Alligator mississippiensis: one gene and its partner. The protein of the gene in region 2 interacts with the protein of the main gene of each other region in a pairwise test. Links are inferred from orthologs where the notes say so. Each region holds a gene or a part of one and is shown on either strand. Other genes may lie near its edges.

Region 1 (7,466 bases), on a different chromosome or scaffold from region 2:
CCTTCAGCCTCTCCTTGTACGGCCTGTCCTCCAGACCTCTAATAATTCGTGTGGCCCTCTTTTGAGCTCTTTCAAGACTCTCCACATCCTTCTTGAAGTGTGACACACAGCATTGGATGCAGTACTCCAGCTGAGGCCTCACCAGTGCAGAGTAAAGCAGGAGGATGACATCCTTAGTTTTTCTTGAGATGCATTGGTTGATGCATGCCAGTGTCTTGTTCGTTCTGCCGGCTTATAGCATCACATTGGTTGCTCATATCCCAGTGTCAAAAACCCCAGTGTTGAAAAAATCAATGTGGTGCATGTACCAGCAGCATGCACCACCAGAAAGGGTGCCTGGCCAGCCAGAACCATGCTCTGGCTGCTGGCAAGGCTCCGAGTGGCTGGATTGCTGCTGCTGCTGCCCTGGGAGGCCCGTAGGACTCCAGGTAAGGCTCCTAGGGCTAGCTTAGATGCTGGCCCCAGCCTCTCCTACTCTGTTGGAGACAACTTGCCATACATCAACCCTGCATGGAGGGGCATGCGCTGTAGCAAAAAGCAGTGGCACAAATTTGTGATGCTGCTGTTTTTGCGGTGGCAACCACCTGCCCCTGCATGTGGGAACACACCATAGGAGGCTTTTCTAATATAGCTATAACCAGCCAATCTCATCAGTTTTAAGCACAGTCAGGGAATTATGGTTTTGTTTTTTTCTGAACTATCAAAGGGGACAAATCCGATGCATGTTTTTAAAGCATTTTACTTCATCCCAGCCCCTGAAACCTCTGGACAATTGTGGCAAGTAGATTAAAAGAAGTAATAGTGACACCAACCTGAAAATAACAGCCTAAATAGGCCTCTTGGGGCCTAGTTTGTTATGCAGATAAAGTAATTCAAAACAATTCAAGAGGGCAGTTAAGGCCCTGTAACTCTCTGGTGACAGTGGTTCAGCAGTACTTTTCCAGAGAGATTGTTAGACCACGGGAATGTCAATGGAGGAGTCCTGCTGGAACGGAAACAATGTTCTCCCCACCTAAACAGCTCAAACCTGGTTTGAGGCCAGGGTAAAAGCTTTTACCTGGCATGCATGTAGGCAGAAAAGTGTGAGCTAGCTACTGAAAGTGGCATAAGGCCCTTATCTCAGGGATTCATATCAGAGACAGGCAGACAAATGGGAGGTTTCAAATTTTCACTAAGCTGAACATTTCTTTATCTCTTGTGGTGACTCATCTTAGTAAAGAGGCAAAAGAATAGAAAGAAAGATGAAAACAAAAATTCAAAGCCACAGAAGGATTTATTCCTTCAGGTGTGAGGTCTGTGGGGTCTCATAAAAAACAGTCAGCTGAATCCCAATACATCCCCATTTATTATAATCAGTGCATGGGGCAGGTGGAGAAATGACTGAGATAGTTCTGCCTGGAAAAAAAAAATCTGTTCTGTGGTACTTTTAAATTATCTTTAATTTGATCATTTCTGAAGCACCTGCTTTTTGTTGCAAGAGATATGCTGTGTGTCAAATGTCCAGAAGTAAAAGTCATTAACCTCAAATTGTTACAGAAAAATTAAAACATACAAAGCCAAATTCATACATGGTATAACTCCAGGATAGAATTTGCAATGTGCTGATATCAAGACACACACCAGGAATCACCTGGATATTCATTTTCAAAGGGTACACGTCATAGACGAACAGTTTTGAAATCTATTCCTACTTCTGAAAAAATCTGCATCGCTGCACATTTCGCCCTTTTATTCCAGATGCTAGACACCTGTCATCCATTTTGTCAGAATCCCCTTCCAAACCTTATTTATTTTTGTTCTTAATTCAATGATGTCACTATCTTCCTGTCTCTGACTACACAACATAGGTATATAAAGTAATCGCTACATGATAATTTGCCTTGTCCTCCACTTCATATTTTAATAACACTTTTTCCCTTAGTAATGAGTTGAAGGTCCCGAGAGAGGTCTCGGGGAAGGAGAGGAATGCAGCAAAACCATGCTCTCTTGATTTATCCGCCCCCACTGTGCTGACCATGAACTGAAAACAGAGCTTCCAAGAGAACAGAAGAGTGAAACATTGCTAATTAAGCTGCATGCAAAATGAAGGCATTTGTCTTTTGACACGGTGTCATATTTTCAGACATTTTGGCCCAGACTGGAAACTTCCTATGAAGAGTAATGAGCAGAATGAGGACACCGGGAACCATTGCTCCCCAGTAATAGCCCAACATTCATAATCTGAGCCCTTTGGGAATCACTCATGACAGCCTTCAGCAGGAAAGAAAAGGAAAAGGAAAAGGAAAAGGAAAAGAAAGAAAAGAAGCCACCACAAAACTTCCAGCTGGCAGTAACATAAGCCAAACATGCCTATATAGTAACTCCTTAGTAACTTATTATTGTAATGGTAATATTTCTGATCCTTTACACAGATTCCTAAGAGCCAAACACTGCTTTTTTATGAAGCGCCTAAAAGCATTAACAGTATTAATCATGTCTAAAAGAAATGCATTTGAAAAGTAACTGCATGTACATGGGGTCTGCATCAGTAGCACAGTATGTAAACCAGACACTAGGAGGACAAACTGCTGTCACTTTGAATATGCACTCTCCATGGCCCTTCCACCCTCACTGGGGGAGTAGATCAGGCCGAGCAATATAACTTACCACTCATCAACGGATTTGATAGAGAAGATGCATGTGGCTGGCCTTCCGCTCCCAGGGATTTGCTGGCATTTCCATGTACTCTCTCATTATCCATTGCACCCTAGGCAGTCTAGTTTCTGTTATTTCTCTTCAAGGTTGGTCATGAGAGTTCAAATTCCATCTTCCCTGATGAAATGCCTAGTTATGGGAGTAATCTATTAAGCAGATTGTTGTGTGTGTCCAAGTCAAGCAGACTGCAGCCGACTGGAACTTGGCTTGGCAGCAGTTCGCACAGAAATTCGAGTACCTGTGCTCGGATTTAACGAAACACCTCCTCATTTACTTGGTGGACAGGCAGAGAACAGACAGACCACACTGCACAAAAGCAAGGGATGTGTCTGATGTCATATCCTTTCAAAAGCCACGCCCAATCAGTAAGTCTGCCTTCTGTTTTTATCAGGCAGGAAATTCTTAGTTTGCCAAAAAAAACAAAACAGAAAGAGCCAGTTCAACTAGTTAAGCAAACTGCCTTCGGGGGGGATTTGTAAAGATAACTTAGAAAGTAAGTAGTGTTTGCTGTTTTCCACTACTCAGATGGAATTGCTTTGAGACAACATGCTTTTCACATATACTATGCCTCTGTGAATATGGTATAGTACATAAAAACCCTGACAGCATCAAAAAATCTCATGACAGCATGCAAAAACAACAGTGGGGAGGGCTCTTTTTACACAGCACGAGTCACTACATACCATGAGAATATTGAAACCACATGTTCGCAGAGCTGTACTTTTCACTAGAAGTGCTTTCTTGTCTCTATAGCATGAAAAGCATGCTCTTCTATAGGCTTATTTATTGGTATTAATTTCAGTTAACTTCACCAAATCATGTTGCACCAACATTTTAAAACTGATTTTTCACCTAAACTAAAAACCATGAACTCCAGGAAAGTAAACACAGACATGTTTTTCGAAAGGACCTCAACCTAGTATAACTTTGTACGCAAACAGATCATTTCTCCATTTGCTATTTGGTCTCAAATTCTGTAATCTACAGGCACAAAGTCCATTTGTTCTTAATGAATATGCAAATGTAACCATTTTTATTCACAGACAAGAACTTCATGAAAAAGTGTCATGCACTCAAACAGGAGTTGCATATTTTACACCTGCCCACCAAGGTGAAATTCTTATCACCTGCCCCAAATCTTCATAGGTTAACTTTATTTCTATCTATAACATATAAAAAAGAACAAGTAATAACTTCTAAGTGTCTTTGCCATGACTGGAAAATACAGTCCCATTCAAAGATAAAACCAGCAGCCGTGCCTCATCCCCACACTAATGGGAAGCACAGAGTAAATTAAACATCACCTGGCAATTCCAGAGCTCCCTCTGACAAGCTGCTTTGTGTGAAGCTGCTGCCCATATAGTGGCCATACAGACTTTTAAGGTCCTCTCCATCTCTAAGATGAATTCTGCCACTGTTCCTGTTCCAGTTTCTCTGCCACACACCCTGATCCTGGCATCCTTATCAGTTATGCCTTCTGGAAATGAGACAACATCTTTCAGCTGCCCTAAAACCCCATAACTAATGCTGCCTCTTCCTGTGCTTTCAGCCCAAGGTATAGCTTAAGTAAGTACACCCTTTCCAAGAGCTTGACCTTATGGCCACTCTGATTTACAGTTTAGAGTACATGCAATAGTTGAAGCAAATAGGCATAGATTTACAAAAGGGGTTCTAAATCATTCAGTCTTTATTTTAGAGAACACAAGAAGTACCCAGATATAGACAAAACAGTAAATGCCCCCTTGGGCCTCAATATCATCACCACTTCTGATCATTTTTAAAGGATTTTTTTAGGGTGGATCAATGACTTTTCGAAGCTCCAGCAACCTTCTCTGGAACTCCACTCTTCCAGGCTAAGCATCACTTCTGAATTACAGTCATCTTTTATACCTCTGCAGCAAGCTTTGTTTCCTATTAGATGGTTCTTAAGTCAACAGGCCTTCTGGCACTCAAGAAAACTGTCCTCCAGTTTTCTCTGTGAATTACTCTTTTTGTTCCCTTTTGGGAATTTTTGCAAAATCCTGAAGAATCCTTATTTTGTGTAGACAAAACAAATAATATTGTTTTCAGTTAGGAAGCAGCCATCTTTTCATTTTTTTCAAGGAGCACCAATTCTTGTGTTGATGGGTCTTTATTGACTGTTCTATTCAGAGACAGACATTTAGATGCCCCTTTCTGTCTGCTTAGCATAATGGCAAGAATTACAGTAAAGATAATTATAAAACATCAAGCATACAGGCCACTCATAATTAGGGTGACCATATGTCCTGGACTGGCCAGGACAGTCCCAGATTTCAGAGTCTGTTTCAGCATCCCAGCCATCGGATAAAATTGAAGCAAAACTCCTGGAACCCACCCTTACATGCAACTCCTCAGTCAGGAGCCAGGCACATGGGCGAGGGACAGACATTACACATAAACCAGTTTAAGTGATCAGAATTCAGAAACTAATTTAAACCTGTAACAGAACAGATGTTCAGTGCACATAAACCAGTTTGAAAATGGATGTAGTATCAGACTTAACTGGTTTGGGTCAAACTGGTTTATGCAGTGTTTGTTCCAGACCCCTTGGTGGTTTAACTTAAACCAGACTCCCCCAGCATCCCAGCTTGCTCTCTGGGCTGGGCAGGGCTCTCTGCTCCACAGCAGGGCTGGCTCCTCCCCTCTGCTCCCTGGCTGGAGCTTAACAGAGACTGCAGGCTGCTCCATCCCACCCTCCCCCCAAACACACACTCCCTGCTAAGCAGGAATTCTCCCCTCCCCTCTGTCTTGCTGAGAGGTGTCTGCATATTAGCTAGCAGACCACATGCTGGCTACAGTCCCTGCTGTGGTAGATGGGACAAAGGTGGAATCAACAGCTAGCTGGTAATATCCCTCTGTTGTTTTCTTAAGGGGGTGATAAACACTGAGTTAGGGATGATAAACACTGTGTTAACAATTCCCTGCTGGGCTGCTCGCGGGGGTGGGGGGGAACCCCCTCCCTAATCAGAGCATCCTGCCGGGGCCTGGCCCTGCACCCCTCAGCTCAACCTTGTTGAAGGGAGGGGAGGGCTGCTCTAGTGCCCCCCAGCTTCTAGCCTGAGCCACTGCAGGCATGTGCCTGCATGTCTGGGATATCTGTACAGTTACCAACTGATTTAGCCTAGCCAGGTTAGACTAACCTGCAAAGATTGAATCAATTCGGGCTTAGGCTTTTTGAATGTCTGTCCCTAGCCATACGGGCAGGTTCCTACCAATCCAGGACTTTTGCTTTAATTTTCTCCAGAGAGCCCAGCCAATGGACTGCTTCCTGGTTTGGACCCCGCTGGGCTGCAAGCAGGGTTAAGAGATGGGTGCGCAGGGAGCCATGAGGTCAAGGGTGTGTGTGTATGTATGTATGCACCATGGTGTCTTGCCCAGCCCTGCTCCTGGGAGCTGCTGAGGTGGGGAGGTGCACCCCCTGGGGCCACCCACTACTCCCTCATCCCTCAAATTATTATGGTTTCCCTCAAATGATTATGGTCACCCTATTCAAAATCCCAAACAGAATTTTAGGCAGATTGCCTGAATTCTTCCTCTGTGACAACCTTTATCATCTTTAAAAGCCATGTTAAAAGTGGTTCTCCAGTTTCTCTGTCTCCAGTCAGATTTTATAGTGGTGGTTTTCAGACTTCAACTTTTCTAAAAGATGTTTTTGCCATCCTTATTCACAGTGACTAGTACCTTATTCTCCAAGCAGCCTCAAATCATAGTATCCCTGTTTTCCTGCTGTTGGTCCTTGGTACCCACATTTTAATCTTCCTCTTCAGAACATTCTTCACTGCACAGCTGCAGTTGACTAGTTGCCTCTCCCCATTTGTACTTGTGCATGCCATGCATTCTCCTCAGAGGGCTCTATTTGCTTGCACAGGTCTCATTTCAAAAGAATTTTCGGTATCAAGTATAATACCAACAATTTTTTTGTTTGCTTGTTTGTTTTTTAAGGAAAATTTTTTGTCCCCCCAAGTCAAATCAGCAAATCAATTCCAAATCCATGAGTCATTCAAGAACCATATGTGGCCCTGCTACCAGCAAACATCCTCCACCCCCACCTGGGACTTCAGATGCTTCCAAATCCTTTGGCAGACATCCTACGTACAGATCCAATCCCCGAGGCTTGGGGTTCAGATGCCCCCAAGTTTCACTTGCCCTCAACCGTATGGCCACAGGAGCAAGCTAGGGAGGAGTGTCCCATTCCATAAAGTTGGCATATAGTAGACTAACAATGCATTACCTTGGTTAGGGTACTACCCCCTGCGCGGGCTGGGAGCGGTCCAAGGCTTTCAGGGGCGCACGGCGGGCTGTGGCCAGGAGCCCGCAACGGTAGGGCGGGGACTCTGGCACGACGGACTACAATTAGGCACGGACTCGTAGCGGTTAATTAAAGATTGTTTTACTTACACCGTAGGTGGTCACGGTGCAGGCAGGAAAAACTTTCTTGAGTTGCAGTTACAGACAAACACAAGTGGAGTTTGCTAGGCTCCACCGAAGACACACGCACGGAGTTTGCTAGGCTCCGCAAAACAAACACGACAGAGCTCTGGATACTCTTGACGAGCATGCAAAACCGTAGATACATCTTAAGAATTTAACGAACAAGACGGGAAGAGGTTGGTGGTTGATCAGGCCGCCAAACTCCTCTGAGACACACACAAAGTTTCTATTACTCTGCCATGTGCTCAGAGTCCCCACGAGATGGTTGTGGAGTCCTCTACAACTTGGGCGGAAACTGCTCAAACCTCTTATATGACTAG
Region 2 (8,169 bases):
TGCAGGGTCTAGCCCTACACTGGGGGGGGGGGGGGGTGGAAATGGAGGCAGTTGACAGACCCTTCCAGGGGCTGGAGCAGGTTGGAGCTTTGGGCTCAGGTTGTCATATGTTGGGGGGGGGGGGGTACAGGTCATCTTGGGTGAGGGGGTGGGAGCACTACAGCAGCCCCCACAGCTCCTGCCTGCCCCATGCCCCCTGCCTCAGGGGGAGCTCAAGCCTGTGGGCCCTGGACCCTGCCGTGGAGATTTAGATTAGACATCAGGAAGAACTTCTTCACAGTAAGGGCTACCAGAATCTGGAATGGGCTTCCAAGGGAGGTGGTGCTCTCCCCTACCCTGGAGGTCTTTAAGAGGAGACTGGACAAGTACCTGCCTGGGGTCATCTGACCCCAGTGATCTTTCTTGCCCAGAGCAGGGGGTCGGATTTAATGATCTACTGCGGTTCCTCCGAGATAAACAGTTATGAAATGTATGGGGGGCACCCCCCCCTCCCGGTGCCCCACACCTTGGCCTGCCCCTGCCTGGCCCCCAGTGCAGACAGCAGGCAGCAGTGCTGGGGCCATCATGGCTTTATTGGGCCCGTGGGCGGGCATTGGCAGTGCTGGGGTGGGCACAGTGCCTACTTCTGGGCTGGGATCATGTCGTCAATGGTCTGGTTCTTCTCCAGCTTCTTCTCCATCTCCACCATGAGCTTGACACCGTCCACCACCATTTGCACCTGCTCCACCTCTGAGAAGCCCAGCCGGTCTGCATTGGAGACGTCATACACAGAGCCCACCGCCGCCGTGTCCACCCCGCCTGTGGGGGGGGAGAAGGGAAGGGTCAGTGCTGCCACAGCCCCTGCTCGTGCTGGCCCCAGAGCTGCTGAGCCCCAGGCTCTGTGCCCCCCCATCCTCCCTCCCCGCACGCCTATGCCCACTAGTGCCCAACCCCTGCACCCACCAGTGCCGCGCTTCTGCAGGCGCAGGCGCTTGAGGATCTCCTCGAACTTCGGGTGCTTGCTGAGGTGGGGCAGCTTGACGTGGACGCCACCACGCAGGCCCGTGCCCAGGTTGGACGGGCAGGTCAGCACATAGCCCAGATGTTGGTTCCACATGAAGGGGTGCCCGGCCTTCTTGAAGTCCTCCTCAATCTGCCAGGGCAGGGAGGGGGATCAGCACCAGGACCCAGCCCCCTCCTGCTCCCACCTTGCCAGCCCACACTGGCCTCCCTGAGCAAGAATAAAAATCCAGGCATGCAGGCCCCTAGCCTGCTCCTGCTCCAGCCCCCACTGGCCTCCCTGGGCAGGGGCAAGAACCCAGACAGCCAGACCCGCACCTTCTGGAGCCCAACACAGAAGCGACGGAAGACCTCCTTCATGTTACCACCCTTCTGCATGGAGATGACGCGCAGGTGGTCCTCCTCATTCACCCACACCAGGAAGGTCTTGTTGTCATTGTGCCTGCAGGGGTGGGGAGGGGGTGGCTGCTGTCAGGGCCCCTGCACCAGTCCTGTCCCCTGCACCCTGCCCCAGGTTCCCTCAGCCCTGGGGCTAGGACCCAGGCTTCCTGCTCCAGCCCACAGACTCCCAAAGGCAGATCAAGGACCCAGGAGTCCTGGGGCCAGCATGCAGTCTCCACTTCCCCCAGCTCTGGGGCTGGGACCCCAGTGTCCAGCCTGTGGGGGGCCTCACCAGATGCCGCGGGCATCAGGCCAATCGCGGGCCATGCCGGAGGCCAGCAGCAGGGGCGACACAGGCTTGTCAAAGAGAAAGTGGTCGTCGATGAGCTGCTGCTGCTCTTGGTCCGACATGTCCTTCAGTGGGTAGTACTTGCCCTTGAACTCCCCGGTCAGGCTGTTCAGGGCTGGGGTAAGACACTATGTCAGGGACGCCTGCAGGCACCCTGCAACCCGACCCTGCCAGGCACCCTGGAAGATGCCACCGTCCCTGCCCCATGTCCAGGGGTGTTCCCAGCTTCCTGGGGAATGGAGACTGGCCCCCAGCCCCATGCCCCCCACCTCACTGCTGATGGGGAGCTCCCCCCTGCCCCCATCCCCCACCACTCACTGCGGAGGGAGAGCTTCTCCACGGCACGGCGCTCCCCGCGGCTGCAGTGGGGGGGCAGCGAGTAGCCCTTGATGCTGCGGCCCGTGCGCACCCGGCTGCTCAGCACGTAGTTGGGGTCCAGGTCATCCCCACCCTGCACAGGCCAGAGGAAACGTCAGTGCGGCTGAGGGCCCCTTGCCCTGTGCGCCCCCCCCCCCCAAAGAAGCCATGCCAGGGCCCTCTCCACTTGACCTGGTAGCACCAGCTCTGCCGGTCCCCCACCCCAATCAGGCACCTTGAGGTTCTCATGGTTGAGGTCAGTCTTGTGCTGGTCGGTGGGCTTGTACCCGCCGTGCCTGTCCTGGATCACGGGGTCGAACAGGTCCTTGAAGACTTCATAGCTCTCCTCATCCCCAGCCACACAGCCTACAGTCATGATAAAGGGGTGCCCTGCGGGGTGGGGGAACAGGGTCAGGGTCATGGTCACCTGCCCCCAACCCTCACCTCTGCTCCACTTTTCCCTTCCACATACACTGAGGCCACCCGAACCCATGGCAGAATCACACCATATCAAATGTATCCCACAGGCCTCACTGCAGCAGTATCCTGGGCTTGGAGCTGAGTGAGACAAGGCTGGGAATAAGGGAGAGGAAGCCCCAGCTCCCTGCCCTTGCCCCTGTCACCCCCAGGCTGGGGGGTCCCCGGCTCCCTGCCCTTGCCCCCCTGCCCCCCACAGCAAAGGAGCCAGAGGACCTGGGTTGTCAACGCCGGTCTGGATGATGTCGTCGAGGGTGAAGCCGCTGGGGGTCTCCTTGTCCCGCAGCTTCTTGTAGATGTCCAGGGTTAGTGCCTTGGCCATGTGGTTGTTGTGCTTCGTCAGGTCGGGGAACTCGTCCTCCGCTGAGTAGTTGAGCTTGAACTTGTTGTGGGTGTTACCGAACGGCATGGTGGCGGTGGTGGTGGGCACGGCCTGAGGGCACCGGCACTCAGGGTGCTGCTCTGCTCCCTGCCACCCCAGTCCCAGTCCCAGTCCCTCTGGCTCCCATAGTTCAACGCTCCTGCCCAGGCGCTCAGATGCCCGGGCCGCGGGTGGCTGCCTATGCAGGGCACTGGTGGGGGCACCTGGCATGGGCCGGAGGCGCCCGGGGCAGGCAGGAGGCGGTGCCCCGGGGCTCGAGCGCAGCGGCGGGGGAGCACGTGGGGGAGGCCGGGGGGGCCAAGGCTCGGCGCCGCGCCCGGCAGCTGTCCGCGCTATTTATACCCGCGCTTTGCCCACAAAAGGCCCCGTCTGCGGGGCTGAGCTGCGTTCCTGGCATCCCGGGTCGGGCGCGGGCGGCGGCGGGGGCCATGCCGGGAGGGACCCACGCCCGGGCCGGCCCGGGCCGGCCCGGCCCTAGGCGCGGAGGTCCGTCCCCACGGTGCGGCCCGGTCCACCCCTGCCCCATGCCCTGCAGCGATACCCGGCTCCGAGCCCGGCCCCAGCCCCACAGCTCCTGCCCCAGCACCTAGCACCTAACCCCTGAGCCCCAGCCCTAGCCCCGAACTCCCCTCCGCACCTTGGACGGGACGGGGCGGACTCCTCGCGGGCTCGGCGCAGGTGACCCGGGGCAGCCCCGCGCCACGCCGCTTTATCCCGCGGGCCGCGCTCCCATTGGCTGGCGCCCGCTCGCGCCCCGGCCACAATTGGGCACCCGGCGGCGAGGAGGGGCCCCGGGGGGGGGGGGGGGTGCCGTCGGGATCTGGGGCCGGGGCTGAGCTGCCCCAGCCCATCCAGCCTCCCTGCCTGGGGAGGGGTCGCGCTGCCCCCCATGCTCCGACCTCGTGTTCCCCCCCAGGCCTCACCCCGGGCCAGGGGGGACGTGCAGGGCAGTGATGGGGTTGGGGAAGGTTTGCCCCTTCCTGCCCCAGGGCTGCCCCAGATGCAGCCCCTGGGGCCTGGATCCATGTGAGTGGGGCTTGAGGAGGCACTGGGCCCTGCCTGGACTCACCCTTGCCAGGGCATGGTGGTGGCCCTTGTACCCTGCCCCGGCAGCTGGGCTGACCGCAGTTGCTAGAGCCTGTGCCAGGCCCCCTGCCCCGAGCTGCCCCCCGCAGTCACCATGGGAACCCCGGGACCGTGCCCGGCTGCCCTGCCCTGCCCTGCCAGGGGGCGGTCCCCAGTGCTGGCACCAGCCCATCCCCTCAGGTACCAGCCTGAGGGTGCTGAGCAAGGCCTGGCTGGGATGGGAGCACATGACGCTGCTCCCCCTCACCCCCCCAGCCACCCGCCCCTCGCCCCCATGGCCGACGGCCCAGCACTTTATATAGGCAGCAATGCGGTGCTGGCTCACAGTGCCCTGGCCCCCACCCAAGCAACCCAGCCTGTCCGGGCCCTTGCTGGCACCAGAGCAGAGCAGCTGAGATCGTGTTTCCAGGGATCCAACCCCAGAGCAGGAAGGGGCCAGCAGCTGCAGGGCACCATGATTTATGGGGGGGAACAGTCCTGGGGCCCAGCTCACGTCCACCCCACAGAGTCTGGTGGTGGGCATCAGCCTGGGAGGGTGCTGAGACTGGTCTCGGGCCTCAGGGCCTGGTTGGTGTCGGGACATCCCCAGTGCCCTTGGGGGAGCAGTGGCTTGGGCAGCTCCCAGGTGCAAAAGGCACAATGACCCCTGGCAGGGAGTGGGGCTCGGGGAAGAAGCGTTAAGGGATGAGGTCACAGTGGGCACTGGAGTAGACCGAGGACAGGGGGGCAGCAGGGGCTCTGTGCTGGGGGTGCAGGGCTGAGGCCTTGCCCGGAGAGTGCCCAGTGCATGGGATGGGCGCAGGCTCGGGGCTGTGCCAAACACCGGAGTTTGACACATCAGCGTAACCTGAGCTCTGGCCCCTGGCACCACGGCTGGGAGACAGGAATGCTGGGGGTCAGGCTGAGCCGGACCCTGCAGGCTCCCCAGAAGGGGCTGGTCCCAGGGGCACTGCTAAGACCCCCATGTGCCCCCCTCTGGGCAATTGATTGCCTGCTGTGTGCCCTTCCTGCGGGCACCTGGGACTGTGGCTGGGCTGGCAGTGCCCACGGGGCACCCTGCCTCACTCCAGCTCCCTGCTGGCTCTGGGGGCTGGAACAGGACTGGATCTTGCCCAGGGATCTGCTCAAGGGCCCCTGGGGTGGACGGGGGTGGAGGCAGCAGGTGCAGGGACAGCAGCTGTGCAGAGGGGTGCGGGCCCCGCCTGCGTATGCTGGGCCGGGAGATCAGGTTTCAGCCCAGCCCTGCAGGCAGCTCTGGGGGGATCTCCCTGCTCAGGCTGGGGCTCCTGCCAGGCTCCACTGGCTGGGGGGGTGCACAAGCACAAGCTGGGGTTTGTACATGTATCCAGGGGCCTGCATGTAAGGCCTGGAAGGGGCTGTGACCCTGACACACTGAGGACCTAAATCCTACTGCTCCCACCCTGCCCAGGCACCCAGCTGCGTCCACTGGTGTCCCCTGTCTTGTGCACATCTGTAGGGCCCACATGTGGAGTACGCAGGGGCTACATGCAGTGTGTAGCATGTCCCGGCACCCGGGGAGCAGGCCATGCCAGTCAAGGCCTTGGAGAAGAGCCACAGTATGTGCATGTGTGTGTGTGGAGGGGAGTGGGGTGCGGGCTGGCTGGCACCTGCCCCTGGCCAGGACCTGGCACCACCTCAGCCAGCCCCTGCCTCGGGCACAGGCCCAAAGCACCCCCAGCTGGGCGCCCCTGTCTGGAGGTCACCTTGCCGTGGGCATCACAAGGCCAGGCGTGATCTTGGCTGGAAATATCACGGCACAGGCAGGTGGCCACAGGCAGGGCCAAAATTAGCAGCAGGGCAGGAGCCAGCTGGTTGGAGCTGGGTCCTGCTGTCCCCCGGAGGTGCTGAGACCCCGCCGGATGTGTGTGTGTGTGGGGGGGGGAGTGGGACATGGGACCACCTGGCACCCTGCTGAAAGTTGGAGCCCCCCAGCCTGGGGCAGCCACAGCACAGCCTGGCAGGCACTAGCCCATGCTCCTCCAGGAGTGCTCAGGGCAGCTGTGGGCAAGCTAATCCAGCAGGCTATCTGGGGGTCTTCCAGCCCCAGGGCAAGGGCTGAGCTCCAGGAATAGGCTGCAGCATGTACGACAGTCACTAAACCAGCTCGGCACTGGCTCAAAATAGCAGGACCCACCTGACTGGGGGCCAACCAGGATCTCCCTGGGGGACTAGAGGCACCACAGGGGAAGGGGGCATTGTGGGGCAAGGCCTGCAGCCCCATCATTCTATGCCCCAGGGCCCAGGTGCTCTTGGCCCTGTGCCCACTCCCCACCTGCCAAACACGTTGGGGTGGGGAGGTCACAGCAGCCTGTGCCCAGATCTATGTTGAACCCCCTGCTGCACCAGCCTTCAAGGGACCCATATTGCCATCATCACCCCTCCCCCCACCCCACTTCCAGGCCAGGGGGTGTTCACCATGTTCCCCTCCTACACTGTCTGCTCATGGAAACTGAGGCAAGTGTGATGGCAGAAATTGGCTCTGCATTTCTTCATGCACATGCCTGCACATGCACATGCCCATGGCAAGAGCCTGCAGTGACCTGCCCACATACCTCCACCCTGCCCCCTCAGCTGTGCTGGGCCCTGGGGCATCGCAAGGCTGGGGGAGCTGGTGCTGGGCCTGGGGGGAACCCCCCACCCCAGGCAGTCCTGGTAGGGGTGCCCTGTGCAATGACCTCTGAGCTGATCCGCTGGATCATGAGAATTCAATCCCAGCAGGCTGGGCCGGTCGGGGGGGGGGGGGGAGGGCGGGTGAGCCAGTATTTTTAGAGCCAGCTGGGCAGGCAGGTCGGGTTTCCCACAGTGCCTGTATCTGCACTGCTGGCCTGGCCTGAACAGGCCCACGGCGCCAAGAGGCCCATCCTGGCGCCCGACCCCTCGCTCAGTGCCTGCCTGCACCCAGCTGGGCCACAGCAGCTCCAGCGTTGGGCCATGGCCTGGGCACTTCAGCAGGAGGTGGAGGAGGAGGTGTCTCCTCCCAGCTTCCCCTGGGCTGCCCTGGGACACCTGCCCTGACTCCCCAGCCCAGCCCCACCAGCAGCTGCTGCCCCTGTTCTCAGGACCTGCCCCTTCCCCTGCTGCTGGCTCTCCCACCCTGAAGGTCCAATGCAGGCCCTGGGAGGCACAGAGCAAGCACTAATTACCGCAGCCCCAGCTGGTGCCTGTGATTACCGCTGTGCTCGGTAATTATGGCCTGTCCCCACTGGGCCAAGCCCTGCCAGTGCTGGCCCAGTTCTCTGTTCTCCTCAGCTGGACCCATGGGAGCCATTGTGCCACCTGTGCCCCCAGCCAGCCCAGCAATGCCAAAGCCTGGTCCCAGGGAGGGAAGGGCCCTGAGGAGCCTAGGGGCATCTCCAGCTGCCACAGGGAGTGGGGCTGAGCCCAACAGCCAGAGGCAGCTCTGCCCTGGTGCAGCCACTGTCTGTGCTGAGCTGGGGCAGCTGTGCTGTCCTGCAAGGGCTTTCAGACTGCCAGGCCCTGCTGGGTCTGGGGACAGCTGAGCCTGGGGAGGAGGGGGCTAAAGGGGGCTGCCTCTCTGCAGGGGGCACAGGAGGGCCTGGGAGTGGCCTAAGGCAGTGCTGAGTGGGGGGGGGGGGGGCACAACCATGTGCACATGCACTCATACACATGCACACTCACACACACAAGCACACATGCACTCACAAGAAAGCGCACACACAGATACGTGCAAACAGGCACACATGCAAACACACAAACCCAAAGACAAATGCATACACAAGCAAACACACAAACCCAAAGACAAATGCATACACAAGCAAACACACATGCGAGGAGTAGTCCATCTATTGGCTCCTCTGTGAAATCCTATGAAATATGAACTTTCATTTCGACCCAGGAGAACTTTCACAATCTTTTCTCCAATGCCTCATCAAGGGTGTTTGCGCCTGAAAACTTGCAATTAAAGAACTTCTTTTGTTGCAAAAACGTAGTTGGTCTAATACAAGATACTATCTCTACTACGAGTCCCGACTGCGTTTTCCTTCAGACCAATAGGGCTACAATCCGGATACCTGACAACATACACACGTGCGCGCACACACGCCACCATGCATGAGCACACTCCTGCGGTCCCGGCTGCTCGGCGCTGCCCCCTGGC

The links.
Region 1: the proteins of CKM (region 2) and ASB9 interact in binary tests that used the Homo sapiens proteins (3 or more experiments, as listed by UniProt). The two-hybrid records come from large-scale screens. The link is inferred for Alligator mississippiensis from reciprocal best matches to the Homo sapiens genes CKM and ASB9.

What each region holds. Positions count from the first base shown.
Region 1 is NC_081824.1:323,041,403-323,048,868, reverse strand, and holds the start of ASB9 (ankyrin repeat and SOCS box protein 9), read right to left. Parts: upstream 3,026-7,466; 5' UTR 2,741-3,025; coding exon 2,647-2,740; intron 1-2,646. UniProt on the Homo sapiens protein: Substrate-recognition component of a cullin-5-RING E3 ubiquitin-protein ligase complex (ECS complex, also named CRL5 complex), which mediates the ubiquitination and subsequent proteasomal degradation of target proteins.
Region 2 is NC_081838.1:164,838-173,006, forward strand, and holds CKM (creatine kinase M-type), read right to left. Parts: upstream 2,997-8,169; 5' UTR 2,973-2,996; coding exon 2,780-2,972; intron 2,477-2,779; coding exon 2,322-2,476; intron 2,181-2,321; coding exon 2,048-2,180; intron 1,845-2,047; coding exon 1,673-1,844; intron 1,442-1,672; coding exon 1,318-1,441; intron 1,133-1,317; coding exon 943-1,132; intron 799-942; coding exon 620-798; 3' UTR 552-619; downstream 1-551. UniProt on the Homo sapiens protein: Reversibly catalyzes the transfer of phosphate between ATP and various phosphogens (e.g. creatine phosphate).